Sus scrofa: one gene and its partners. The protein of the gene in region 6 purifies or fractionates together with the protein of the main gene of each other region. This does not show direct contact. Links are inferred from orthologs where the notes say so. Each region holds a gene or a part of one and is shown on either strand. Other genes may lie near its edges. The genes, in order: EIF4A3, SRSF4, SRSF6, SRSF5, CDC5L, SRRM1 and RBM25.

Evidence for each region.
Region 1: the proteins of SRRM1 (region 6) and EIF4A3 purify together in Homo sapiens (affinity purification with mass spectrometry; 3 studies listed by BioGRID and IntAct, with this or other methods). This does not show direct contact. The link is inferred for Sus scrofa from reciprocal best matches to the Homo sapiens genes SRRM1 and EIF4A3.
Region 2: the proteins of SRRM1 (region 6) and SRSF4 purify together in Homo sapiens (affinity purification with western blotting; 3 studies listed by BioGRID and IntAct, with this or other methods). This does not show direct contact. The link is inferred for Sus scrofa from reciprocal best matches to the Homo sapiens genes SRRM1 and SRSF4.
Region 3: the proteins of SRRM1 (region 6) and SRSF6 purify together in Homo sapiens (affinity purification with western blotting; 3 studies listed by BioGRID and IntAct, with this or other methods). This does not show direct contact. The link is inferred for Sus scrofa from reciprocal best matches to the Homo sapiens genes SRRM1 and SRSF6.
Region 4: the proteins of SRRM1 (region 6) and SRSF5 purify together in Homo sapiens (affinity purification with western blotting; 3 studies listed by BioGRID and IntAct, with this or other methods). This does not show direct contact. The link is inferred for Sus scrofa from reciprocal best matches to the Homo sapiens genes SRRM1 and SRSF5.
Region 5: the proteins of SRRM1 (region 6) and CDC5L purify together in Homo sapiens (affinity purification with mass spectrometry; 4 studies listed by BioGRID and IntAct, with this or other methods). This does not show direct contact. The link is inferred for Sus scrofa from reciprocal best matches to the Homo sapiens genes SRRM1 and CDC5L.
Region 7: the proteins of SRRM1 (region 6) and RBM25 fractionate together in Homo sapiens (co-fractionation; 3 studies listed by BioGRID, with this or other methods). This does not show direct contact. The link is inferred for Sus scrofa from reciprocal best matches to the Homo sapiens genes SRRM1 and RBM25.

Annotation. Positions count from the first base shown.
Region 1 is NC_010454.4:2,284,227-2,288,478, forward strand, and holds the start of EIF4A3 (eukaryotic initiation factor 4A-III), read left to right. Parts: upstream 1-1,452; 5' UTR 1,453-1,468; coding exon 1,469-1,637; intron 1,638-4,076; coding exon 4,077-4,149; intron 4,150-4,252. UniProt on the Homo sapiens protein: ATP-dependent RNA helicase. Involved in pre-mRNA splicing as component of the spliceosome. Core component of the splicing-dependent multiprotein exon junction complex (EJC) deposited at splice junctions on mRNAs.
Region 2 is NC_010448.4:86,089,970-86,094,030, forward strand, and holds the start of SRSF4 (serine/arginine-rich splicing factor 4), read right to left. Parts: upstream 2,801-4,061; 5' UTR 2,635-2,800; coding exon of another isoform or gene 2,528-2,634; intron 1-2,527. UniProt on the Homo sapiens protein: Plays a role in alternative splice site selection during pre-mRNA splicing. Represses the splicing of MAPT/Tau exon 10.
Region 3 is NC_010459.5:46,118,302-46,122,411, reverse strand, and holds the start of SRSF6 (serine/arginine-rich splicing factor 6), read right to left. Parts: upstream 2,801-4,110; coding exon 2,694-2,800; intron 2,470-2,693; coding exon 2,321-2,469; intron 1,028-2,320; coding exon 903-1,027; intron 758-902; coding exon 549-757; intron 421-548; coding exon 337-420; intron 236-336; coding exon 1-235. UniProt on the Homo sapiens protein: Plays a role in constitutive splicing and modulates the selection of alternative splice sites. Plays a role in the alternative splicing of MAPT/Tau exon 10. Binds to alternative exons of TNC pre-mRNA and promotes the expression of alternatively spliced TNC.
Region 4 is NC_010449.5:93,396,379-93,399,010, reverse strand, and holds the end of SRSF5 (serine/arginine-rich splicing factor 5), read right to left. Parts: exon of another isoform or gene 2,073-2,632; coding exon 1,999-2,072; intron 1,528-1,998; coding exon 1,417-1,527; intron 1,322-1,416; coding exon 1,054-1,321; 3' UTR 501-1,053; downstream 1-500. UniProt on the Homo sapiens protein: Plays a role in constitutive splicing and can modulate the selection of alternative splice sites.
Region 5 is NC_010449.5:39,390,897-39,394,396, reverse strand, and holds part of CDC5L (cell division cycle 5-like protein), read right to left. Parts: intron 1,752-3,500; coding exon 1,652-1,751; intron 1-1,651.
Region 6 is NC_010448.4:82,340,192-82,343,691, reverse strand, and holds part of SRRM1 (serine/arginine repetitive matrix protein 1), read right to left. Parts: intron 1,521-3,500; coding exon 1,311-1,520; intron 162-1,310; coding exon 57-161; 3' UTR 1-56. UniProt on the Homo sapiens protein: Part of pre- and post-splicing multiprotein mRNP complexes. As a component of the minor spliceosome, involved in the splicing of U12-type introns in pre-mRNAs. Involved in numerous pre-mRNA processing events.
Region 7 is NC_010449.5:96,451,650-96,455,149, reverse strand, and holds part of RBM25 (RNA-binding protein 25), read right to left. Parts: intron 3,092-3,500; coding exon 2,869-3,091; intron 2,763-2,868; coding exon 2,673-2,762; intron 1-2,672. UniProt on the Homo sapiens protein: RNA-binding protein that acts as a regulator of alternative pre-mRNA splicing. Involved in apoptotic cell death through the regulation of the apoptotic factor BCL2L1 isoform expression.

The DNA of each region.
Region 1 (4,252 bases), on a different chromosome or scaffold from region 6:
GTTGCTGTGAGCTGTGGTGTAGGTTGCAGAAGCTTGGATCCCAAATTGCTGTGGCTACTATAGGCAGGCAGCTGTAGTTCCGATTTGACCCCTAGCCTAGGAACTTCCATATGCTGCAGGTGTGGCCCTTTAAAGAAAAAAAAATTCAAGCTGCAGCTGTGACCAACTGTGGCAACCTGGGATACTTTAATCCACTGCACAGGCTGGGGACTGAACCCATGCCCTCCGCAGCAACTTACTCTGTGCCACAGCTGGAACTCTAAGGTTTGAGTAATACTGGCATTTTTTTTTTTCTTGCTTCTTAGGGTCACACATGCAGCATACGGAAAATCTCAGGCTAGAGGTCAAATTGGAGCTATAGCTGGCGGCCTACACCACAGCCACAGCTGTGCCAGCTCTGAGCCACATCTGCAACCTACACCACAGCTCACGGCAACGCCAGATCCTTAACTCACTGAGCAAGACCAGGGATCGAACCGTGTCCTCATGGATGCTAGTCAGGTTCTTAACCCACTGAGCCACAAGGGGAACTTCCCATACTAGCATCCTTATCAGGCACGTTTATCAGGTCAATTTTCTTGCAGAGTCTGGACATATTCTAAGGTCTGGGCCAGAGCTTCAGGAAAAGACCTCATTTACTTGTTTGCTGTCAACAAACTGCAAACCTCTGCACTCTTATGCCTGATTTTAATGGATAATATGATCACCCAGTTTTCACTGAATTAACCTTCACAACAGGAAAGCGTTTAAGCACTCCTGGAAAGAGGCTGTGAATTAAAGATATGCCCAGGATGGGAGCCAAGCAAACAATGAGAAAGGACGGAGCTGGCACTTGGGCAAGTACAAGTTTCACAAAGTTATCGCTGTTCTCACACAACACAGATGAACGTCCGTCAAGTGATGAAATCGGTTCAGAGGCCAGTTTTGCGGTACTTGATTTTAGAGGCACTTGAAGTTTTAGAGAAGCATGGCCCACGGGGCCATGTTTACACGGGATAATGAGCGCAGGCAGGGACCAGCACCCGGGTGCCTCCTCCCGGCAGGGGCGCCCTGGCGCACGCCGCAGCTCGTCTGCAGGAGTTCCAGTTCTACCCTGCCGCGCTGAGGAACCGGTAATGCGGCCAGGTAACCGGTAACCCTCCGCGCAACAGCCCAGCCCAGAGCCCAAGCCGAGGGACCCGGGCGAACCCCGGCGCCTACCTTACGCGGGTGCGGGGAGGGGCGGGGTGTGGCCAGGGGCGGGGCCCGCGGATCCCGCGGAACCCCTCCCCCTCGAGAGCTGCGGCACCGCCCCTTTCCCCTTTCACGTGACCAGGAGCTCCCCGCCCCTTCCGAGCGCGGCTCCGACGCACGCTCCTACGCAGGCACGCGCGCGCGATGCCGTCAGTTCCTGGCGGCGGCGACGGCGCGGCGCTCTACTTCCGCTTCCCGGTGCGGCGCGCAGTCGGTTCTCAGCCCGCTCGGCATCATGGCGGCCACGGCCACGATGGCGACCTCAGGCTCGGCGCGGAAGCGGCTGCTGAAAGAGGAAGACATGACCAAAGTGGAATTCGAGACCAGCGAGGAGGTGGACGTGACTCCCACGTTCGACACTATGGGCCTGCGGGAGGACCTGCTGCGCGGCATCTATGCCTACGGTCGGTGGGCGCGGGGCGCGGGCTGCGAGCGCCCGCCGGAGAGCATGGGCCCGGCCGAGGGCTGGGTCCCGAGACTGGGAGTGTGGCGGTCCTGAAGGTCGGGGATCCGGGTTGGGGCCGAGCCCGGGGTGGGTCACGGGTGACCCCTTCCCTCACCACGCGTATCCACCCCCATCTGTGCCGGCGGGTTCGGGTGTTGTCCTCCCGGCAGCGCGCCCTGCTGGGACCCAAGAGGGCTGCAGGGTCCTTTGGGCACTTGGGAGTCATTCATTCAGCGGATAACTGTCTTGTATCGGCCAGGTGCGCGGCTCTAGGTACTCGGGGCTTAGTAGGGAACCAGACAGGTTCGTGCCCTTAGTTAAGTTAGCTTAAGCCTTAGTTTAAGTTACATTTGGGAGGAGGACTGTATAATCGATGGTAATGGCTACGGAGAAAATTAAGCGGGATAATTGGTTCAAGCTGCGCGGAGGAGAGAGTTAAACTAGTAGAGCAAATAGGCAAGGTGGCTGCCAGTAGGGCCTGGCATTTGAACTGAGACTCAGCTAAGGAGCCCGTTATGAGAAGGTTATGTTAGAATTGGGCAGAGGGGGCAGCTGGTGCCAGGTCCTGCAGCCCGGAGCCGGGGACATTCCAGGAACAGAATCTCCTGTCCTCCCTGTGGGGAGGGAGGAGGGGGCCACATCTTGAAGAGTGAAGTCTGGGGTGATAAAGAGAGTGCATTTTATTTCTGAGTGCAGTGGGGGAGGCCATTGGAGGGTCTCATGCAAGGAAGCGACAGGACCATATTTAGTTAGAAGTGAATTGGGGTGTCTGATGTGGGTGGAGGTGAGGCGGGAGAGCAAGCAGGGAGATGCTAGGAGGCTTTTTGTTCCAGTCCGGGGGAGAGATGATGGTTTTCTGGTGGAGATGGATGTAAGCAGCAGAGGAAAATCCTAGGTGTGTGGCTGATGGGACCGGTGATGCTGCCCTCTGCTCAGGCAGGGAGTAATGGTGGGAGCACTTCTTGAATGAGGGGAGCTTGAGGGACCTGTGAGCCATCAGTTGTCCTAGCTGGGAGCCTCGGAAGAGGCGGGGTTGGGGCTACTCTCCGGAATGAGCAGCATCCGTGCTTAATGCCTGGGACTGGGGCATCTTTTTTATCCAGCAGTCCTTGAGTCAGGACAGTTTAGTGCAGAGAAGGTGCTGAGGGAACGGGAGGTGAACTATAGCAACTAAGCCTTGTAGTGAGGCTCACAGCCCACCTGCCTCTTGGGATCTAGGGCCTCCCTTCCCTGAAACACCTGCTGCGTCATCATGAGGGGTTTAAATCACATTAGATTGGCTTTTGTGTTAAGTGGGAAGTTTACTACATTTTAAAAGACTATGAGAATTATTTCATGTCCATTATTTGTACATGAAGTTTTGTTTACTCAGACAGTAGAGGGGTTGCAGTTCACGCAGCCGCATCCAGGGCAGGAGGGCATCCAGGGCGGGAGGCGTAGGTGACATTCGTTTTTAGATGATGTCACCTACCCAAAGACTTACTGCTGATAGGGAGTAGTGACTGACTGTGATGGGTTATTTAATTTAACAAGTGATGCCAAAACACCCCCAACAATGCAGGTTATTGTAATGAAGTCAAACAATGCAGTAGTAATGGAAGTAAGATGTGAGCTTCCCTCCCCCTGTTCTCCAGCAGTAACCACCTGTTAACTTTTTTTTTTTTTAAACCTAACTAGGGTCTCTGTTTGCAACAATGTTCCTCAGAGATTTTGTCTGTATAAATAAGATCATATGTTACTATAAAGAAAATCCACTGGAGTTCCCTTGCTCAGTGGTTAACAAACTCGACTAGTATCCATGAAATTGTGGGTTCAGTCCCTGGCCTGGCTCAGTGGATTAAGGATCCGGCGTTTCGGGAGCTGTGGTGGAGGTTGCAGACGTGGCTCAGATCCCAAGTTGCTGTGGCTGTGGCTCAGGCCAGCAGCCACAGCTCCCGTTCGACCCTTAGCCTGGGAACCTCCATATGCTGCAGGTGTGGCCCTAAAAAAAAAAATCCACAAAAGTCCACAAATCCTGCTTTGTTCAACAGCTGTTTTTTGAGAGCTCAGTATGTTGGACATTGCATCAGGAGGGTTTTTTTTTTTTTTAAAAAACATACCATCCTTGGAGTTCCTTCTGTGGTGCAACGGGATCAGTGGCATATCTGCAGCACCAGGATGTAGGTTCAGTCCCTGCCTGGCACAGTGGGTGAAAGTAACTGGTGTTGCCACAGCGGTGGTGTAGGTCACAGCTGTGGCTCAGATTTGATCACATACCCACGAACTCCATATGCCGAGGGGCAGCCGAAAGAGAAAGGAAGAAAGAGAGCCCATCCTTGCCCTCGAGGAGCCCCAGCGTCTGGTTGTAAGCATGCTGTCCTAGCGGTTAGAACTAATTGTTTTCTGCTCTAATTTACAGGTTTTGAAAAGCCTTCGGCAATCCAGCAGCGAGCTATTAAGCAGATCATCAAGGGGAGAGATGTCATTGCACAGTGAGTCTGCGGGAGCCGGGCCCGGGCCGGGCTGCTCAGCACAGCAGCGCCTTTGCGCTTCTCCTTCCGTCGCCGTGACCAGCCCTGGCCTTGCATTCAGCCA
Region 2 (4,061 bases), about 3.7 Mb from region 6:
CCCTTGTTCAAAAGTCATCTTCCTCTTCAATAATGTCTGAATGCTGCTAGGAGGTGCACCTGTTTTGGTGACTGTCACACCTGCCTTCAAATCCCTAAAATGCCTTCCCATTCCTTATTCTCTTGACTTTCAATCACAGATTTCATGCATATCATGGTTTAGCAGCAGAACTGTAAAAATGAATCACTTCCCCAAGAGACCCACGTATTCAGGGTCCTGGAAGGATTGGTCCTTCCTCTTACATCACCATTTCTCAGGTTGCTCAATTACTCCCTCCAGAGCATCTGAACTCCTATCCATAATTTTGAATGTTTAGTGTAAAATCTTAAAAGTTACTTCTGATTTATGTTGTTCAGCTTCTAGGTCATTCATGAGACTCAATCCAAGCTGGACTGTTTTATTGTTTCTCAAAATTGTTCCTTATTCGACCATCACCAGTTATGACATACACTATTCCCAGACACTTCGCTTCAAGCCCCAGTCAAACTGTACTTCAAAGCCCATTTCAAACAAATCTTTTCAAACAAACTATTCTAAGTTCCACTTACTGAGTTTACACTGAGGGCAAGAATTTCTTAATTTAAAGTGTGTGTTATAAGCACTTAATTTACACAAGAGCAGAACTGTTTTTCTGCCTCCTCCCCAATTCATTTAGCACAATAGCAGGCACATTCGTTAGCAACACAGATGATCCATTAATTACTTTTCCCATTAACATCAACAATCATTTCCTAAGTAACCTTAGAAAACAGACTTCAATCATTACCTGAGGAACCTTAGAAAACAGACTTCACCAAATATGCTTCACACTATTAAACACTCAACAAGCTAAGATGTGTCTCCTTATGATCATGGTCAAATCCCTTTGATTATAGCTACCATTTACAGCAATGAGCCAAATGCTTTACAATTATTACCTCTAATCTTCCTTTTCCTTGTGGATGAGGAAACTCAGAATCAGAGAAATAACTGGCCCACAGATAGTAAGTGGTGAAGCTAAGATTTGACCCAGGCCTGCCTGATTTCAAAACCTAAGCTTTCCTTACCAAATTTAATTATCCCGACAACTTAATTGGGCTCTAAAGAAAATCTGTAAGTTTAAACTCCATTCTCGATCATTCAGATATATGATACATATCACAATAACAACCTCCGGCCCACTTTATCTAGTATAAGAACTGAAACAAGTAATTTCCGTACAAAACAAGTAATTTCCGAAGACTTCTACTCTAAAAGAAATCAGTATTCATAATAAACACTTGATGACACTTTCCTTAGCAAGAAGGTGATTCTGCCTAACAATTAATTTGAAATAACTTTTTAAACCTAGGCAACAGTTTGAGTATACTGTAGCTTCCAGTTTTTTTCAAATGTGCAACTCAGGTATTTTTCTTAACTTCTCAAATGTTAGTTGCTAGCATTACATTGGGAGTAAACTGTACCCATAACAAACTTGTTGCAAAGCAGGTCTTAAAAAAAAAAAAAAAAAAAAAGCCAGAGTTCCTCTTAACACCCAAGGTTTAGTACACTAAAATGTCCCCCTTACTCCTTTTATTTTTGTATATCCATGCCTTTGTATACCCGCTAACATTTTCTGGTTCTCACAGTTTCCCCTTGTTGATTATCTTCTCCAGGCCTGACTCCTAATCTGTTTTCCCAGAAACTTGTAGCCCCTGTGGGCCCTGCTCTACCAAAGTCAATTAGGAATACAAGCAACAGAACACACCCGGATAGGTAGCAAGTTAGCAGTTTCAAGCTGTAAGTCTCCGTTTACATCAACTAGTTAACTAGTTACCGGGGCCATTATTCTCTAACAAATTCTACAAAGACAAAGCAATTTTTTTGCCAAGTTAGAGAACGGAAACCACAGCATGGAAACTTCGTACGCAGTCTTAAAGATAGCATGCTAAGACTCTAATTTATCCTTGTAGAGGGAACGGTGAAGGCTTTCGGCACCACACACGCCGATACTTTCGAAACTGTCACTAGACTACTCAAACCAGAGTCTCCCGCTCAAAAAAGTGTAGCACAGGGCAAGTCTAAAAAGGGTGTCCCTTCAGAGCTCCCGTCCCTGGGAGAAATGCGCTGTGATCATCTGATCCATTAAACTGGGTAAGAAATGAAAAGGGAGCAGGAAATCTGTTTATTTCCAGCAGCCCTTAGAGCGGGAAAGGTCTGTCTCTACCGGAGATCGACCAGGCCCTGGGAAGGAAAAAGCCAGGCCTCCCCAGCTGTCCTGGAGCTGTGCCCTCCCGCCCGGAGTCCCAATCCCACTCGGGTTTTCCTTTTCCCCGTCCCACTCAGAGCCTCACCATCGCTCCCATTATCCCTCCACCACCCCCACCCGCGCAGGCGCAGTGGGAACCGGGGCCTACCCGCGCCCCCGAGGCGCCGCGACTATGGCGGAGCGGGAGCAGGCCGGTAGGCGCTCTGCGCGGGGTAGGCGTCCCTCTCCCGTCACCGAGGCCTCCCCGCCACCGCCAGGGTCCCATCCCCACCCAGCCAGCCCCTCCTCCGCCCTCCTCACCCGTTCTTCAGATCCACCTCTAGGATCTTCCCGTAGCCCTTAAAGAAGCGCTCCACATCGCGCTCCCGGGCCTGATAGCTCAGGCGGCCGATGTACACCCGCGGCATCCCGGCAACTGCGGCGGCGGCTTGGCCCGGCCCCAGCCCCTTAGGCGGCGGCCGGCGAAGCGAGAGCGCGGCGACGGCGGCGGCAACGGGCGGGCGGCGGGACGGACGCAGCCGAACCCGGCGACGTACGCGAGCACGCAGCTCGCGAGCACGCGCCTCCCCCGCCCGCCCGCGGAGAGTAACGGGGGGGGGAACGCGCCTTCTTCCCGCCCTGCCGGAGGTGGAGGCGGGGCCTGTCCGGAGGCGCGCCGGCGCAGGGCGGGACCAGGTGATCGACAGGCGGCGCGGGGGTACATCCTCTCGCGAGCTTGGCGCGAGGGGCCTGCGCCGCTTGGCGCAGCCCGCGGGCTTCGCCCCTCCCCCGGAAGTGTCCACGTCCCCCTCCTTCCAGCCCTGAGAGCATTGCTGCTTTTGTCCCTTGAACCCGGAGCTGTATCGACTCTAGAGCAGATTTGGAATTAAACCTGGCTTCTAATTGTCTGTGACCTTGAGCTCATTACGCGCCTTTCGGCTTCGTCTTCTCTGTAAAAGGGGGATTAGTAATTCCAGCCTTCCAGAGTTGTTCCTAGCACCTCGTAAGTGCCCAATAAATAATAGCAATATTATTTTAAAAATAGGACAGTTTGCTTCAGTGGAAGCAGTGTGCAAAGTAGAGACTAGAACTTTGGAGCTAGATTAGGCTTGTCACTGGCTAAATTATTAAATTACCAATTTAATCTATTTTCTGACTTGTAAAATTAGAATAATTTATCCCATCTCAGTGGACTACCAGGGTAACTAAGAGAGTATGTGGAAGGGCTTCAGTATCTGGGACGTGGTAGGAGCTCAGTAAATATTGGTTCCCTTCTCTCCTACCCAGTTTATCTAGAATCACAAAGGAGTTTTGTTTCTTTGCTGTTTTTATTTACTTCAGAAATTATATTTTGAAAGGTAATTCATTAACTGGTTCAAATGATATACAGTGAAAAGTCTTCCCATCTCTGTCCTCTGGCAGCCTAGTTCCCCACCCTCCACTCCCTGAGAGGCCCACACAATATAATCAATTTCGTAAATGTTCTTTGAGGTATTTTACACATGTAAAGCAACTTGTGGTGTACCACACGTATGGTTCTGCATTTAATATAATTTGAAACTCATTCTGTAAGAGTACAAAAGGAGCTTCCTCAGGATTATTTTTATGGTTTATAATATGCCATTTTATACACTGATTTGTGTAATCAGTGCCTAGGAAAGGACATTGAAATAGATTCAAACCTTTGGTTATAACTGCTTCAGTGAGTAGTTTTGTATACATATATATATGTAGGATCTATTCCTAGAGATAAGATAGTTGGATCAAAGGGTGTGGGAGGGCAGTTTTGATAGATTTGCTCGATTTTCCATAAGTATCTGTTTCTCCATCTCATCATCACATTATCAAACATCAA
Region 3 (4,110 bases), on a different chromosome or scaffold from region 6:
GGAACGAGACTGGCTCCTTGATCTAGATTTTGACTTTACATCACCTTTTCCATTTTCTTTGGGGGAACGAGATCGAGAACGAGACCTGCTTCGAGATTTCTCATACTCATCCTTTGATCTGCTTCGAGAGCGTGAACGGGATCCCCGATCAGACTTGGCCTTAGACTTGCTTTTTGATCTAGATTTTCTGCCCTTTGAACGGGAACGTGATCGACCTTTGCTCCGAGACCTGGATCTAGACAAGAAAAGCCAGATTGCTCAATATCTCGCCAGGACACCCAAGTGCTCTATGAAACAAAGTATGTTATTCAGAAAAACACTCAAGGACACATTTACCGGGAGCGACTTTTCGAGATACTTCGAGATCTACTGCGGCTACTCCTACGACTCCTACTTCGTGACCTTCTTCTAGATCGTGACCTACATGTAACAGGAAATAGGATAAATCTTCATCCCAAGACATCTCGACATGAATATTTGTACAACTTCCAATACGGTGTACCAAAAGAAACTAATATTCCCCCCCTCCATACCCTTCAACAAGTTACCTTGATCTGCTTCCAGAGTAAGACCGCCTATGGCTTGTTCGCGGTTTATCTTCAATGAGTCTGATATTTCTCCCATTGATTTCTGTACCATCCAGCTTATCTAAAGCACGCTTCATGTCAGAGTAGGAGCGAAACTCAATGACGCCTTCGTTTGTGCGTTCTTTGTGAGCATCCGCATAGGTTACTTCACCTGCTTGCCTCATGAAATCCTAAAAGAGCAGTAAGACCGGTCAGACTCAGAAATCTAAAGGAAAAAAGATCTATGTGCTATATTTGATTCTCAGAAATGAAAGAGCAATACAAAAGCCTACCTTCTAAACATTAGTCATACCACCTTTAAGTTATAGCACTTACCTTTAAATCCTGCCAACTGCAACGACTAGAAAGATTTTCTACAATAAGCCTGAATTCTGTGCGTACAGGTGGTCCGTATTTGTCTCTGCCAGAGGTTCTCCGACTGCTGTATCCACCTCCACCACCTTTATCACATGAAGAGAACAATTAGGTGTTTTGTAATGATAGGGATGCATAGTTTTTGAAAGTTAGTACAAACATATTAACTTTTATTTACTGGAGTAGGACTTTGCTATTATATTGCTAAACCTTCGATACAGTTGTGATTTGCCATAAATTAAATTAAGGGCAAGTCAAATAGACTAAATCCAACTAAACTTCTCCTACAATCTGTTAGAGAGTGACTGCTCCTTTATTCAATTTACCTCGCTAAGTTTTATTTTACAGAACATTGTAAAATATAAAACTTAACTGATTACATGCATTTCTACATTTTACAAAAATGTTTACTAGTTACACTAAGTACTTACATCACAGTGTGAGGTTTTTGGTGGTGGTTTGGCCACAAAACACGCAAGGTAACAGTCACCTAGTTCAGATTAACCAGTTTTGTCTAACCCTCGGAATCCTCACCATCACCCTGCGTCTAATGGCAAAAGGCTGCTGTCGTCATGGCTTCCGGTAAGGTCAGCCAAAGGGTCATAGGGCAAGGGTCACACAATGTATGGAAAAGCCAAGGCCAATCAGGAAAGGCAGTCATCTTAGCCTCAGTGGACACAGCCTCAGCCCCATTGGTCACTTTCAAATTGAAACATCAAGGACTTGTTAAAAAGTTTGAATTCAACATGCAACAATTTCAACATCAAACATTTAACATAACCAAAATCCCCCCACCTCCTCCCCATAACATGCCCCAACTAGTTCAAATATAGCATAAAGCTCATTTAGATCTACTTTGTGGTACAATACCACATTACGTCAAAATAACATTTTCTTTGGCCCCTGCCAATTTTAATAACTTTAAGTCCTAAGCTTCAAACTCCACCCCTTCCCCCGCCCCCAACCCCACCTCCACCCCAGCCTGTCCCCAAACCTCCATGCTAAATCATTCACATTTCTACCTAATGCACTGACAGGTAAGCGAGGGAGATACAAGTACAGCCAACCCTCGCTTCCTCCGTAGGCAGAGCCCACGACAGTGCTGACAGGGGCCCAGCACACGTTACCCCCTCCCGACTAAGCAACTCCCGCCCCCAAACACACAAACTCCCGCTAGGCAAAACCCACCACCCAATCCCCGCGCTCCGGCGTCCCGTGGCTTTCCCGGGCAGGCGTGAAGGCAGCGGGCCCCGGGGACACCCGAGTCAAGCGACCCGGGCCAACGCGCCTGCCCGGCTGGGAGGCCCCACCCCGCCCCCCTAAGCCTGCACCCGCCCCCGGGGTCCCAAGGACACGGAGCGCGCGGGGGTGGGACTCACTGCGGCTTCCGTAGCTGTAGCCGTCGCGATCGCGGCGCGGGCCCCGGGCGTGCTCCACGATCACGCGCTCGCCGCAGAGCTCCTTGCCGTTCAGCTCGTAAACGGCGTCGTCGGCGTCGCGGGAGTCCTCGAACTCCACGAAGCCGTACCTGAGGGCGGCGCGAGGGCCGGAGACCGGCGGACGTCGTTAGGCCGGGGGCGCGCACGCGCGCTGCTCCCGCTCCTCGCGCGCTCCCGCGGCCCCGCGCGGCCGCCATCTTGGCGGCCCTGCCACGCGGCACCGCGGCCTTGGCCGTCTCCTCCCTCCGATGGGCCCTGCCGCCGTAGGCCCGCGGCGCTGCGGGCGGACGCGGGCGCCCAGCCTCCGACTCACCCATTTTTAAGGTCAATTTCGAGAAGGCGGCCATAGCCGCTGAAAAAGCGCTGGATGTCCTTCTCCCGGACGTTGTAGCTCAGGCGTCCTATGTAGACGCGCGGCATGTCCGTGGCGGGCGAGGGGCCCGAGGGCTGGCTGTCGAACGACGAACCGCAAGGCAGAAGCCGCGGTGCGGGTGCGGGGACGGCAAAAGCCCGGACACGCGCCTCACACCGCAGTGGCGGCCGAGTCCAGCCACACAATGGTGCGCGCGCGCCTGGGCTACGCTATAAGGGCGAGCGGCCAGGGGCGGGGCCCGGCGCGTGACGTCAACGCGCAGCACGTACCCTCCCGCGCTGAAGCGCGGAGCGCGAGAGTGACTTGCGGGACCTCCGCGCTCCAAGTTTCAGGGAAGTGCGGTTCTATTCGCTCACCGAACTTTCTCCACACATCTTTGTAGACGTCGTATCCCGTCGTCCAGTCAAGGACTTGTTTTCTAATCTGTACCTTAAAAAAAACTTCCTCTGTGAGTTCTCTCCGGGACTCGCGCTTGGGAGGCCGGCTAGGAAAATCCCTCTTTTCATTGGTTATCGAGGTTGTCACTATAGGCCTCCCTGGTCTCTGATTGGTTTTGGGAACGAGGCTGCAAATTTCCCCTATGGATCGCTCAGCTTGCGCTCTGCCTAGTGTAGAAGGCGTTCTCCACACGGTTAGCTGCCTATTTCCACAGAATCCGAAGTTAGCGCTCTGAGGTCGTGGTGACGCGGTCGGGAGCGCACGGTACTGCTGGCTTCTATCCCTCGTGGTCCCACTTCACCGCCTCCTTTTACGGCCACCTGTCCTTCCAGGGGGTCTTTCTTGGAGCACCGTCACCTGGAGTCACCTGTAGATTGAGGTGTGCATGGCAACCCCCCCGGCTCGCTGCGGGTGCTGGAAAAGGGAGGCGGGCCAAGGCCTCCGGCCCAGAAAGTTGAGCAAGACCTGGCAACCTTCCCACAGAGGTACGCTCATTTTCTCCCCCGTGTGGAGAGGCCGTAGTCCCAACGCGATCCCTTCCCATTATCTATACCGCAAAAACACGCACATTTTGGAGTTTACCACTAGAGTTGCCAGTTAAAGCTGGCGAATTAGATGAAAACCAGGAGTAAAGTTTAAGTGGAGAGCAGAAGACCCTGGCGTCGTCTTGGAACTTAAGTAAGGGGAAGGAGTGCCTGGAGAGGTGGAGAAAAGAGCCCGAGGGCGTTGTGTCACACTAGCTGAGGGGAAAGGGCGTTGCCGCGATAATACTGGCTGTGTACGTATTTCTGTATATTCCAGCGCTTCGGGAGCAAGGCAGCCTTGCACTCTACAGCTTCTAGTTGGAAGGTGGCAGTTTTGCCCCCCGGGGGACATTTGGCAAAGTCAGGGGGTCTGACAGTTGTGACGACGGGGGGAG
Region 4 (2,632 bases), on a different chromosome or scaffold from region 6:
AGATGGAGAACCTCTAGCAGTTTTCATTACTAAACTGTTTTTAACACAGACTGTCACATGTTTGTCTCAGGACTAAAAGACAAACATGGGACAGCCCCTTAGTGCATTCAAGGGCAATGATTTAAAAAAAAATTCATGTGATGTTTTCTGACCATCAAAATTATATTACAACCTTTAAGATACATGTTAACTTACAATTGCTCCCCAAATCATCCTTTTAGCTGAGAGCCTAAGTAATCTCAGGCCAATAAAGTCAGGTGATAAAAGGAGGTAAAACACACAAGGGAAACTGTCATAGACGGTTAGTCGTCATTGTTTTAAATAGCACACACTTCTTCGCCCATCTCTTCACTACCTTGGAAACATCAAAGGTACTATTTGAATTAAAAAAAAAAAAAAAAACACACATCACCTACTGCAGCAAGGGATTCTCTAGTGTCAAATGTGCATGGGGAAGGAGTGGGTAGCCACTTTACTTCCTTTAGACAAACAGACAAAAACAATTTTTAGAATCTTTTATTATCAATAACAAACAGCTGCCTTTAACGACTTTGCTAGGCAGCTGTTAAAGGGTGGATGGACACCCTTGACCCTAACAAGGAAAACTCAAATTAAGCCTTTATGTACAAGCAAATTTAGAGCTCTTTTAAGTGTCCAAAGCTATTAATTAGTCTTTAAACTAAATCTTAACATATTTGAATAACCAGGAACTAAAACGTTCAAATTTTTTCTAGTACAAAAAAATTAAATTTGCTTTAGTTATAAAAGAGCTCTGTGAATATACACAAACTATATATACTTCAGACATTCACAAAAATGTGAGCAGAAGGCTTATCAAAAGACATTTAATACAATTAAGTTTTCAACAACCCCTTGGTGGTCCACATCTACAAAGATAGCCAGCCCAGCCCAGCCCAACCCAACCCCCCTCCAAATCCCACCCCCACAGAAAAGCACATACTTACCAGAGTTTTTAGCAAGTATGGTTTGGGAATTTGTTTTTTGTTTTTGTTTTATAAAAAAAAAAGGCCCCCAGGGCAAGTTATTTACAGTTTAATTGCCACTGTCAACTGATCTGGACCTTGACCGGGACCGGGACCTGGACCTCTGGCGATCTACAGATGCTGGAGACTTAGATCTACTTGAAGAACCACGTTTCTGGCTCTTCTCAGGCACAGGAGACCTACTAACAGAACGGGACTTGCTCCGGCTCCGGCTCCGGCTCCTAGACCGGCTGTAAGACTTGCTCCTCCGGGAACGAGATCGGCTACGAGACCTTGAGGAACTCCTGGTCCGAGAACGAGACCTGCTTCGTGACCTACTAGGAAGGAAAAAAAATTAAAGAAAAACCAAAAAGCTTAAGTAACAGACCCTACAAATCCATTAAACTCCGACTTGAAAATATTAAAGAGGTACCTGTGCCTTTTGCTGCCTTCAATTAATTTGATTTTTCTCCCATTTATTTCTTTTCCAGAAAGTTTTTCAATAGCATTCTTTAAATCACCATAAGAGGCAAACTCAACTACCCTACAAAAAAAAAAAGCCATTTATAAAGTTATATACTTCTTGCAGTCTCATAAACTATGTAATCCATCTGGTTTAAGTATCTTTTCAATGTTCATCCTGCTACTGCTACACTGAGTCTTACCCTTGACAGATAACGCAGCATGAGAATGTGATTTCCCAACCACCAAACCACTGACCATTTTAAGCTAGATCATTCTTTGGTGTGGGAAGCTTTGCTGTGCATTGTATTTATTTAGTAACATCTGTGATTCTACCCAAAAGACCTTCAGGACCAGCAGGACCTTCAATTGGTTATGATAACCAAAATGTCTCCAGACATTGCCACATGTACCCCGAAGATCAAACTCAATCCCAATTGAGAATTGCTGCTGTATTCGAGCATGTCCAAATTTTGAGCACTCAAACATTGACAGTGAAAACTGTCCTATTAAGGATATTTTAATAGGCTCTTATACTCCAGTGCATACTCACCCTTCATTTAACTTAGGTCTATGTGCATCCGCAAATGTTACTTCCCCAGCTTGTCTCATGAAATCTTTGAGATCCTTAACATAAGACAATTTTGTTAAGCCAGGAAAAGGAATCGTGACACACAAACAACCACAAGGTATAAAAACAAGACTACTGAAAGAGAAGATGTTAGATAAAGTACAAACATGGTATTTACCACACTTGTATTCTATCAGAATTCAAAAATAATATGTCAGGGCACGAAATAAGCAAATAGCATATTGCTTTTAAGCAAAATGCCAGAGAATTCAGATTTTAACATTAAAATAGTATTAGTCTATACTGAGCTCAATACAAAAGGAAAAAACAAAACAAAACAAAAAAGAACAAAACAAAAAGAAACAGTACATATTTTTAAAGTAAAGACTAAAGCAGAAATTTTATATTTAAAAACAGAACATTAACAAGACACCAGTTATTTTGTGCCCCATATGTCATTAAAAAAGTTTACTTTACCTTTATTATTATTTCCCTAGGCTAGTCAAGCAGCAAACCATTAAGCGGTCGGAGAAACGTTCATGACATATGCCCGACTGGCTCTTCGCCACCCACTTGAAGGACACTACCCAATCGATGGAAGCCTTTAATCGCACAG
Region 5 (3,500 bases), on a different chromosome or scaffold from region 6:
CCAGCATAGTGGGTTAAGGATGTGGCACTGCCTCAGCTGCACTGTAAGTCTCAACTGTGGCTTGGATCTGAACCCCGGCAGGGAACTCCACATGCCATGGGGAGACAAAAAAAAAAAAAAAAACAGTGGAAGCTATGGTGAAAGGCAGTTGGGAAGAAACTGATAGATTCATTCACTGGTGATACTGGCTAAACTGCAGACCCACTAGTTTGCCAGAGAGACTCTTTCTCTTTTGAAAAGTGGGGGAAGCCCTTCCGGGGTCAGAACAAATATCAAACCTTCACCTCAGAAACAATCCCTTCAAAGGAGCCAATGAAGGGATCACTTTGTGGAGCAACTTATGCCCCAAGATATTGTTGAAAACAATACAGCAATAAGCTGACAATTAGCAGAGTTTAACAGCTGTGCATAGCCAAGGGGAAAGATGTCAAAGAAAGTCCTATCAAAACCACATCATCCCAAGTGACTGGTCACACCCAAGACCATCCCCACAAGGAGCAAGATCAGAGGATTCCCATTGTGGGAGGAGGGAAGGGGAGGACAGACTTCACTAAAATAACCCTGCTGGTCGCAAAACAAGTAAACTAGAAATAACACTAACCAAGAGGGGATGCGGGGGACACGTACACAGAATTCCTACGATGGAGCATCCAAAGCATCCAGTTCCCAAAAAAAAAAGGTAAGACATGCAAAGAAACAGCAGGAAAGTATGACCCACACACCAGAAAACAAGGAGGCAACACCTGAGAGCAACCAGATGTCAGATTTAACAGACAAGACTTCAAAGGGGCAGAAGTATGTTCAAAGAATAAAAGGAAGCCATGATTAAAGAAGGAAGGTAGGTTGAAAACATTCATTAAAAAGAGAAAATCGGTGAAAGATAGAAATGATTAAAAAGAACCAAATAGAAATTCTGGAGTTGAAGGTTATTCCTGCCTGAATTCCAAAGCTAATAAGCTCTTAGAAAGTTCAGGTTTTCTCTTTATCCACTTCACCTTGGTTTCTAGGCCATTAGGCATAATGTCAATCATAGATCTAATCAAAAGGAAGGGGAAAATGGAGACAACCTTGAGTCGAGGGCAAAATGTAACTCCACTCATTTTTTAAATAGAAATTTCTATGACAGCCTAAAATCCAGTTCAGGGCTCATTAACTCCCTCTGTGTTCAGCCGAGTTTCCTGTTTCACAGCTGGTGTCAGTGCCTGTCCAACACTAATCAAGGAGAGTAACTCCCTGGCAGTCGCGCCAAAGTCCCAGAGCCCTGTGTGTCCTCTAGGCATCTGAGGCCAAGAGGCTAGAACAAATGAAGCTATTTTATGCTAACAAAATTAATTAAACACACTGAGAGAGAGAGAGTGCCCATGCACGCGCGTGTACACCTGCACATAAATGCATGTCTGTATCTGGGCACTGCTTCTGCCACATTTTACAAAACTTTTTTAAAATACATATTGTTTCTATAACTATTCTGAAATGGTTAGGAGAAAATATTTAAGGCTTCCAAAGTAACAAAGACACTAAAGACTATTAGAAAACTGGAAGTGAACAATTCTACTTATCACTCACCTAATGAGGTTGATAAATCATGCAATTTTACTGAGCCTAAGGATACACAGCCTAATTGTTCAACTATGGATGGAAGCAACCATACCTTGCCTCTTCCAACTGTTTCTCTCGTGCTTTCCTCTTGGCTTTCTTTCCCTGAGTATTAGCCAGGCGGGCTCTAGCTTCAGAAAGCATCTCGAGTTCATCTGCAAAAATAAAGAGAAGAAAAACTAACTTCTCCAACAGAAGCAAAGTATGCAAGAGACAGAACCTAGGGCTTAAGATGAGAAAAATCATAAATATAATCCTTATAAGGTATAGCATAAAGGAAACAGTTTGGGTTTTGAAGTCAGAGAAACCTAAGTTAAAAACCAGGCCCACCACGTGCTAGTTATGTGACCCTAGATAATGTATTTACCCTCCCTGAGCATGTTTCACCATTTACAAGATGAGAATAAAAAATGCCTACTTCTGTTGCAACAGAAGAAAGAGTGGGGGAAAAACTGTAATTGCAATGTATACATGTAAAGATAACCTGACCCCCTTGCTGTACAGTGGGAAAAAAAAAAAAAAAGCCTACTTCATAAATAAATAAATAAATAACAAATGCCTACTTCATCAGGACGTTGAGAAAAAATAAGTAAAATGAAACAGGTATTCATCAAGCAAGAAGTCATTATAGTGGCCGTAATTATCATATCCTTCATTATCACCAACTACCTGGCACAAAACGAATTGTGAAAAACTGGAGTTCCCATGGCGGCACAGTGGTTAATGAATCTGACTAGGAACCATGAGGTTGCGGGTTCGATCCCTGCCCTTGCTCAGTGGGTTAACGATCCGGCGTTGCCATGAGCTGTGGTGTAGGTCGCAGACACGGCTTGGATCCTGCACTGCTGGGGCTCTGGCATAGGCTGGCAGCCTACAGCTGCGATTCGACCCCTAGCTGCCCCGGGAGCGGCCCAAAAAATGGCAAAAAGACAAAAAAAAAAAAAAAAAAAAAAAAAAAAAAAAAAAACCTGGAAAAACTACTATTTAATTATAAAGGAATTGATAATCTTCATTATCATTTTTCCTTCATTTTTCTCCCTCAAGACTATTGTTTTCCTCCACTACATTTTTCCATGGGTCCCCAAAGAATAATATATTTCATTACTGATACCTTAGGGTAATTTCTATATAAGGGTATCAATTGAAATCACAAGGGAATCTTAAAAAAAAAAAACCCTCAGATTTCAGGATTATCCTCGCTTCTTCCCAAGTTACTGATTCAGATCTCCTGAGGAGGCCCTGCCACCTCTATTTTTTAAAGTTTATCCTGTGACAATGACGCAACCAGCCTAACTACAATCTGCCTTTGGGAACCACTACCTTCAAACTTTTAAATTAAAAACTCAACAAATATTCACTGAATGCTTCACAATAGCCCTGTGAAGTAAGATAGATTATTACTCTCCATCTGACAGGAATGAGAATCAAAGTTCAGCAAGATTACATGACTTGCCTAAAAGTCAAACAGCTAATAAGCGGCACACACCGCACTAACTAGATTATAGTTCCTCTGACTCTTTTTTTTTTGGCCACACCCACAGCATGTGGCAGTTCCCCAGCCGGGGATCGAACCCGTGCCACAGCAGCGACCTGAGCTGCTATAGTGACATCAGATTCTTTTTTTTGTTTTGTTTTTTGTTTTTTCTAGGGCTGCACCCACGGCATATGGAGGTTCCCAAGCTAGGGGTCTAATGGGAGTTGTAGGCTGCCAGCCTGTGCCAGAGCCCCAGCAACACCAGATCCAAACGGTGTCTGCGATCTACACCACAGCTCACGGCAACGCCGGATCCTTGACCCTCTGAGAGAGGCCAGGGATGGAACCCGCAACCTCATGGTTCCTAGTTGGATTCGTTAACCACTGAGCCACGACAGGAACTCCGACACCAGATTCTTAACTCACTGCG
Region 6 (3,500 bases):
TGAAATTGAATTGCGTACAAACCAAATAAAATTTACATCATAACAAACATTTCCACCTAGGACTGTGGGGACACTTGAGCCTTCCGCATTGATCTCAGGGCCTTTTCGCGCAGGTGCTTTTCTAAGTCATCAAGGTTATCTTCGGCCTCACTTTCAGTCTCCTAAAAAAAACAGAAAAGTTGTATCATCAAACCTTGAGATACTGGTGGAAAATGCTGAGTACAGAGAAGAATAATACTGTCACGATGGCTGCACAACTCTATGGATATACTAAAAAGAAATCATTTAATTATATACTTTAAATGGGTGAATTATATGGTGTATTTATATTTAATTATCTCAAAGCTCTTTTTAGAAATATACATAAGGCCTTTTGTATTTCCCCCTCCCTTTCTAGGGCCATATCTGTGGCATATGTAGCAACTGCGGCTCAGATGTGATCCCTGGCCTAGGAACTTCCATATGCCACAGGCGCAGCCCCCCAAAAAAGAACAGGTATAACCTGCCTATCAGCAACCAAGCAATGGTTGATACAGATCAATATCTGACTTTTTTTTTTTTTTTTTTGGTCTTTTTGCCTTTTCTAGGGCCACTCCCGAAGCATATGGAGGTTCCCAGGCTAGGGATTGAATCGGAGCTGTAGCCACCGGCCTACACCAGAGCCACAGCAACGCGGGATCTGAGCCGCATCTGCAACCCACACCACAGCTCACGGCAACGCCGGATCCTTAACCCACTGAGCAAGGCCAGGGATCGAACCCACAACCTCATGGTTCCTAGTCGGATTCATTAACCACTGAGCCATGACAGGAACTCCCTGACATCTTATTTTTTGACGTTAGTTTGTAAACTCACTTTTCTCTGATAAAGACCAAAATTCTTTTTGTGGGGGAGGGGGGTGTCTTTAGGCCTGTGGCACATAGAAGTTCCCAGGCTAGGGGTCGAACTGGAGCTGCAGCAGCCAGCCTACAGCAACACCATATCCAGGCCATGTCTGTTACCTACATCACAGCTTGCAGCAAGGTCAGATCCTTAACCCAATGAGTGAGGCCAAGGATCAAACCCTTATCTTCATGAATATGAGTCAGGTTCTTAACTTGCTAAATGAACCACAATAGGAACTCCTGCCATTTTTATTCTTATCTGAAGCCTTAGCAAATTCTAGTTCTTGGCAGGTGGTCATGGAGAAATGAGTCAGAAGAGAACCGAACAGCTGGACATCCAATTACCAGAAAAAAATTACTGAGCTACTTCTCCAAACTGAATTAATTTAGCAATTTGTATAAAATTAAGACAGTATCCATAAGCACCTTCTTAGGCTCTGGCTCTGCCTCCGGTTCTTCCTGTGCTGATGTGGTTGTGGGAGCAGCAATGGCTGTAGGGGTCACAGCAGCTGCAGCGGCTGCAGCCACAGCCTTTTCCTTCTTGTGTTTTTTATGCTTCTTGTGCTTCTTATCCTTTTTATGTTTCTTATCCTTCTTTTTTTTCTTTTTCTTTCCACCTCCTTCTGGGTCTGAATTCTAGAAATCCCAGAAAAACAAAAGAAATACCATCAACATGATTAGAATTCCATCCAATTAAACATTTCATTTCCTCAGGGGAATAACCAACTGGACTAATCTCAGGATTTCATACTGCTTCACGGGGAAAGACAGCCCAGGGCTAACCTCCACTAAGAAAAGTATTCCTAAAGACGGGAACTATTGCTGAAATCAAAGACTTCTAAGAGTTGAAATGGACCTTGAAAGTAAATGATATTTAAAAAAATATCCTGAACTTACTTCACATTAAACCATGTCTCCTAACCACAAGGTAGCCCAAGTCTGACATGAGGCAGGGTCTAACCTCAGATGTAAAAGCACCATGTACAACAGAAGGAAGAAAACTCGACAAGGTCTCAGTTAAATTCTGATTTCTGAAGCTATTAAACTATTTGCCCTCAGATAAATTGCTTCACTTGTTCTGAGGCCTGTCAACCCAAAATAGCTATAATAATCCTTGACAGAGCTGTTATGAGAATTAAATAGGAATATATTTAAATTACCCATAATACCAGCACAACATGTAGGCTTTTAATAAGTAACTATTATCCTAAATACAAGGTTGTGTGAAAGCCACATCTCTAATCACCATCTGATCTATCTCTAGAATGCAGGTGGTTTATTCTTCATTATATATGTATTCCAAGTTCATGCAAAGGGTAGGCTCTGCTATAATTAAACCTAGCCTGTAATTTTTATCTTTTTTTTTTTTAATCTTTTTTTTTTTTGCTTTTTAGGGCTGCACCCACGGCATATGGAGGTTCCCAGGCTAGGGATCCAATCGGGGCTACAGCTACCAGCCTACACCACAGCCAAAGCAACCCAGGATGTGAGCTGCACCTGCGACCCACACCACAGCTCACAGCAATGCCAGATCCTTACTGAGCGAGGCCAGGGATCGAACCCGCAACCTCAAGGTTCCTAGTCGGATTTGTTTCCACTGCGCCACAACAGGAACCCCAGGTCTGTAATTTTTAAATCTCACATTTCTAAGCAATTACTTAAAATTCCTCAACCCTTTCAGTTAGTTTGCACAATAATTCAACCCTATTAAGATGAACAACTAACCATTGATTTTACACAATACATGGAACCTGCCATGATTAATGACTCACAAAGAAAGGAAAACAACTTAAGCTGATATTTTAATATCCCAATGATATTTAAACATGACAATGTAGAAACAAACATGTCATTCTTATTTACTTAGCTTGCCAAAGACTTACATGGGACAATAAAGTACTTCCCATTCCAGCTAGTATTTCATAAGCTGCAAGATTCTTTTTATGAAAGAAATAATTTATTTCCATGTTAGGAAAAATCAGAGCCTTAAAATGTGAAGAAGAAAAATTAAAATCACTCATCATTCTCCTAACATGTAACCACTGTTGGTATCCCTCTTGCGACATACCTTTCCTTTATAAAAAGGGTCTTCTTTTTTTTTTGGCTGCCCCACGACATATTAAGTTCCCAGGATCACATCTGAGCCACAGTTGTGACAACTGGCAATGCCAGATCTTTTAACCACTGTGCTGGGCCAGGAATTGAACCTTTGTCCTGGTGCTGCAGAGACACCGCCAATCTCACTGCATCACAGTGGGAACTCTGTCCTTTATAAAAATGGAATCATACTGATGGACATGATCTAAGATCAAAACTTACTGCCTGATCATAACTATCCTAAAACCTTTCAAACACCAGAGAAAACAGCAAAAATGCCAAGCTATTTTCTCCCAACATAATAGATTCATGGATATTTTTCCCTGTTTTTTTCCTAAATTTTCTACATAGTCCAATCTTGACCAACAAGATTATAGAATTTAATATAATAGGATTAGACATACTGCAAATTAATGGATGTCTAGAGTATTGAGCATGGACTATGAAATAACCACTACCACTTATTTTGTGCCTCCTTTTGAAGTCCATCGTGGCTCAGTGGGTTAAGGATCTGGCATT
Region 7 (3,500 bases), on a different chromosome or scaffold from region 6:
GAAATGAAGGACAAAACGTGCAAAATTAATATAAAAGCAATTTACACTACACCCCCCTCTCTTTCATGGGAATAGATTCTTCTTATCCATACCACTTGAACTTTATAATACTCATAAACTTTATACATTTACATGTAAATAAACATTAGATGTTTAAAAATCTTTAACCTTCAAAAGCAAGTCAGGAAGTTCCCGTTGTGGCTCAGTGGTAACAAACCCAACTAGCATCCAGGAGGATTTGGGTTCTATCCCTGGCCTCGCTCAGTGGGTTGAAGGATCTGGCATTGCCATGAGTTGTAGTGTAAGTCGAAGACTCAGCTTGGATCTGGTGTTGCTGTGGCTGTGGTGTAGGCTGACAGCTGCAGCTCCGACTGACCCCTAGTCTAGAAACTTCCCTATGTCTTGGGTGTGGCCCTCAAAAGACAAAATAAGAAAACAAAACAAAAAACCAGAAGCAAGTCAGATTTAGGACTTATCTGTGAAATGAAAGCCACATACAGTATGCTACAATAAATTTCCTCTCTGAATATGATTTTCAAAGTGCAATAATTATTTTCTAAGGAAACCTGAGCACACCAAGAATCACAACTCAATCTGTTAACTGGACCAAAATATTTTACAGTTCACTTACAGGTAGATGATGGTACAAGAAGTAGTTTTCATGAAATATAAGATTAAAATTATTTTTTTTTTCTTTTTAAGGCCACACCTGTGGCACATGGCAGTCCCTGGGCTGGGGTCGAATCCAAGCTGCAGCTGCCAGACTACACCACAGCCACAGCAACACAGGACCAGAGATTGAACCTGCATCCTAATGGATACTAGTTGAGTTCGTTAAGGCTGAGCCACAATGGGAACTTCAGGATTTAAAATTTAAATCACATTTATGCATCTAAAGGTAATGCCTACCTAGCTTTGAGTACACAAACCATGCAAGTACATGAATCTCTTACTCCTATTTTTGGAATTTTAAATACAATAATATATATATATATATACACAAAAAACAATTAGTAAAAATTTATAATCTACATCTCTGTTAACAACTATTACACCTACATACAAATACGTAGGTTTCTGACTTCATCTGACAGTGAAATATTAACACATTTCATCCAGATTAAATGTTACTTCTCTGTAAAGACTTTCCAATCTAACCACCTACTTTTGACCAAGTCCTTCCCCCAGACAAAATTAATCACTTTCCCTGTATTCCACTCCCAAAATACTGTGAACACACCTTCGTCATACTTTAAACACTCACACACACAATACAGTAACTACTTTATCTCTCTGATGATATTACCCACTTGTTTAAGTTTGAAGCATTATTTCTTCTTGTATACCCAGTACCTAGCACAAGGCTAGGATATAAGGTACATTCAAAATTTTTCAAACGCAAATAGACTGTCAGATAGCAATGACAATACCTAGAAATATCTAAATAAAACACAGGGAGGCCTACAAGGAACACACTAAAATAGTGACATAAGCTACCACTCATGAGAAATAGAGACTTTTACTTTTTACACCATATACTTCAGTTACCTGAATATTTTTTAATGAGCAAGTAACTGCTTTTTTAAATGGATTTTTTTTTAAAGCTCCTGAACAAAAAGTAACTATCAGGAATGTTTTTTTCTGGAAAGGTAGGTTTCAGGTTTGCTTGTAGGATGCAGAATAACTTCAAATCTATTAACACATGTTTTTGATGGGAAATATTTCTTCAAATAATTATGTCTCTTACTAGATAATTCTCTATTTCCTAGGTTTTAATAAGAAATTCTAGAATGGGAGCAACAATCTAGGGAAATCAAAATTACTTTAAAAAACTCTAGGAGCTCTGAAGATCTACTATCCAGAAAACCCATACTATCTATCTAGTTGCTGCATGCACCCTTTTGGTTACTTACAAAAATTCCCTCTATGTCTCATGTTCAAAAGCTATTTGAAGAAGATTCCTAACTTCAGTGAAGTTTTTGGAAGAATAATCTCCAAACTGGAGATAAAGAAACTTTCATGAAATTCTGGCAAAGATAGAACACATGGAACATACTACTGAAGCAAATACTGTGATAAAATATATCATCTTTTCGTCATTTTATTTAGTTAACAACCTATGCCAACTGCTTCACTGTACAGTTTGTCAAATAGTGTAAATGCAAAAAAAATACATTTTTATTATCATATAGTTAAAAGGAAGGATAACATAGTAATGTAAGGAAAAATAATAATTCATAAATGTTACACACTGAAGACAATTTTGACTTCTAAAAACTAAGGTCTTCTCATGACACTTTCCTTCACCCAAATGTACTGCACCAATACAGAATGATATCAAAGCCTCTTCAAAGTCAAAAATATTGTAGATTCTTAATCAAAGAATGTTCTGTAAGTTCTCATTTTAAATACTACTCTATGACTGATTTACTTTAACAGTATGCCAAAAGATAATTTAGCTTATAGGCAGCAAAAATGTGAAGAAAAAAAAAGGAGAGAAAAACATTTCGCTGTACTGAAATTCCCTCAAGTTTACTTGAAATTTATAAAAATTAAATTATCTATACTGAGAGATCATACCTTTAAATTATAAAGTTACTTCTAGTTAACCATAAAGATTGATCTGATTTTTATATCTGAAAAATCATTTACTTTTTAACCTAGAATATTACCATTTCTCTTCTTCTTTCTTCCTCTCTTTCAGCCTCTTTCTCATACTCCCGGGTTTTCTTTCGTTCTCTGATTTCCCAATTCTTAAGGCGCTAAAAAAGGAAATTGTCAAAGCTTTAAAGATGTCTACAAAAAAATTCTTTTTGACTAACCTATTAAGTACCAAGCTTTGAGAATATAAACAGTCCCTCTGTTTACCTCCTGATAAGCAGCTTCTTTTTCCCGGAGCTTTCTTTCAAGTTTCCTTCGTTCATATGCATCTTCTTCATCCTCTTCTCGGTCACGCTTCTTGTCTTTTTCTCTCTCACGCTCTCGTTCCCTTTCTCGCTCTCTCTCTCGTTCTCGTTCTCTTTCTCGTTCCCGTTCTCTCTCTCTCTCTCTTTCCCTCTCCCGTTCCCTTTCACGATCTCTGCTCTTTTCTCTACATAAACAAAAGATTTTAAAAAATCTATTAGTCTCCTTTGCGCTTTCTTTAAAAACCAAGAGAAAGGAGAACACATATTATGAAATAATATACAAACTCACAAGCCAGAATTTAGCATTTGTTTTCTGTAGAAGTATAGTAGAAGTCAGAAAGACAGAGAATTTAATTCTATCTCCACATTCTGAACTGCATTCTAAACTCAAAGTTTTTTCCCTCAATGCTTATCAGTGTCTGAGAAAAACACAAAAAACCTGGATAACATGTTGCAAGATAGTCTGCTTCATTAATAGTGATCAAGGAATAAAGATATTGCATAGGTTTAAAGCAAAAAGCCTTTCGGCTTGTTGCATGGATAAACTAGAACTACAGCTAACCCTTGAACAACAGAGGTTTGAACTGTGCAGGT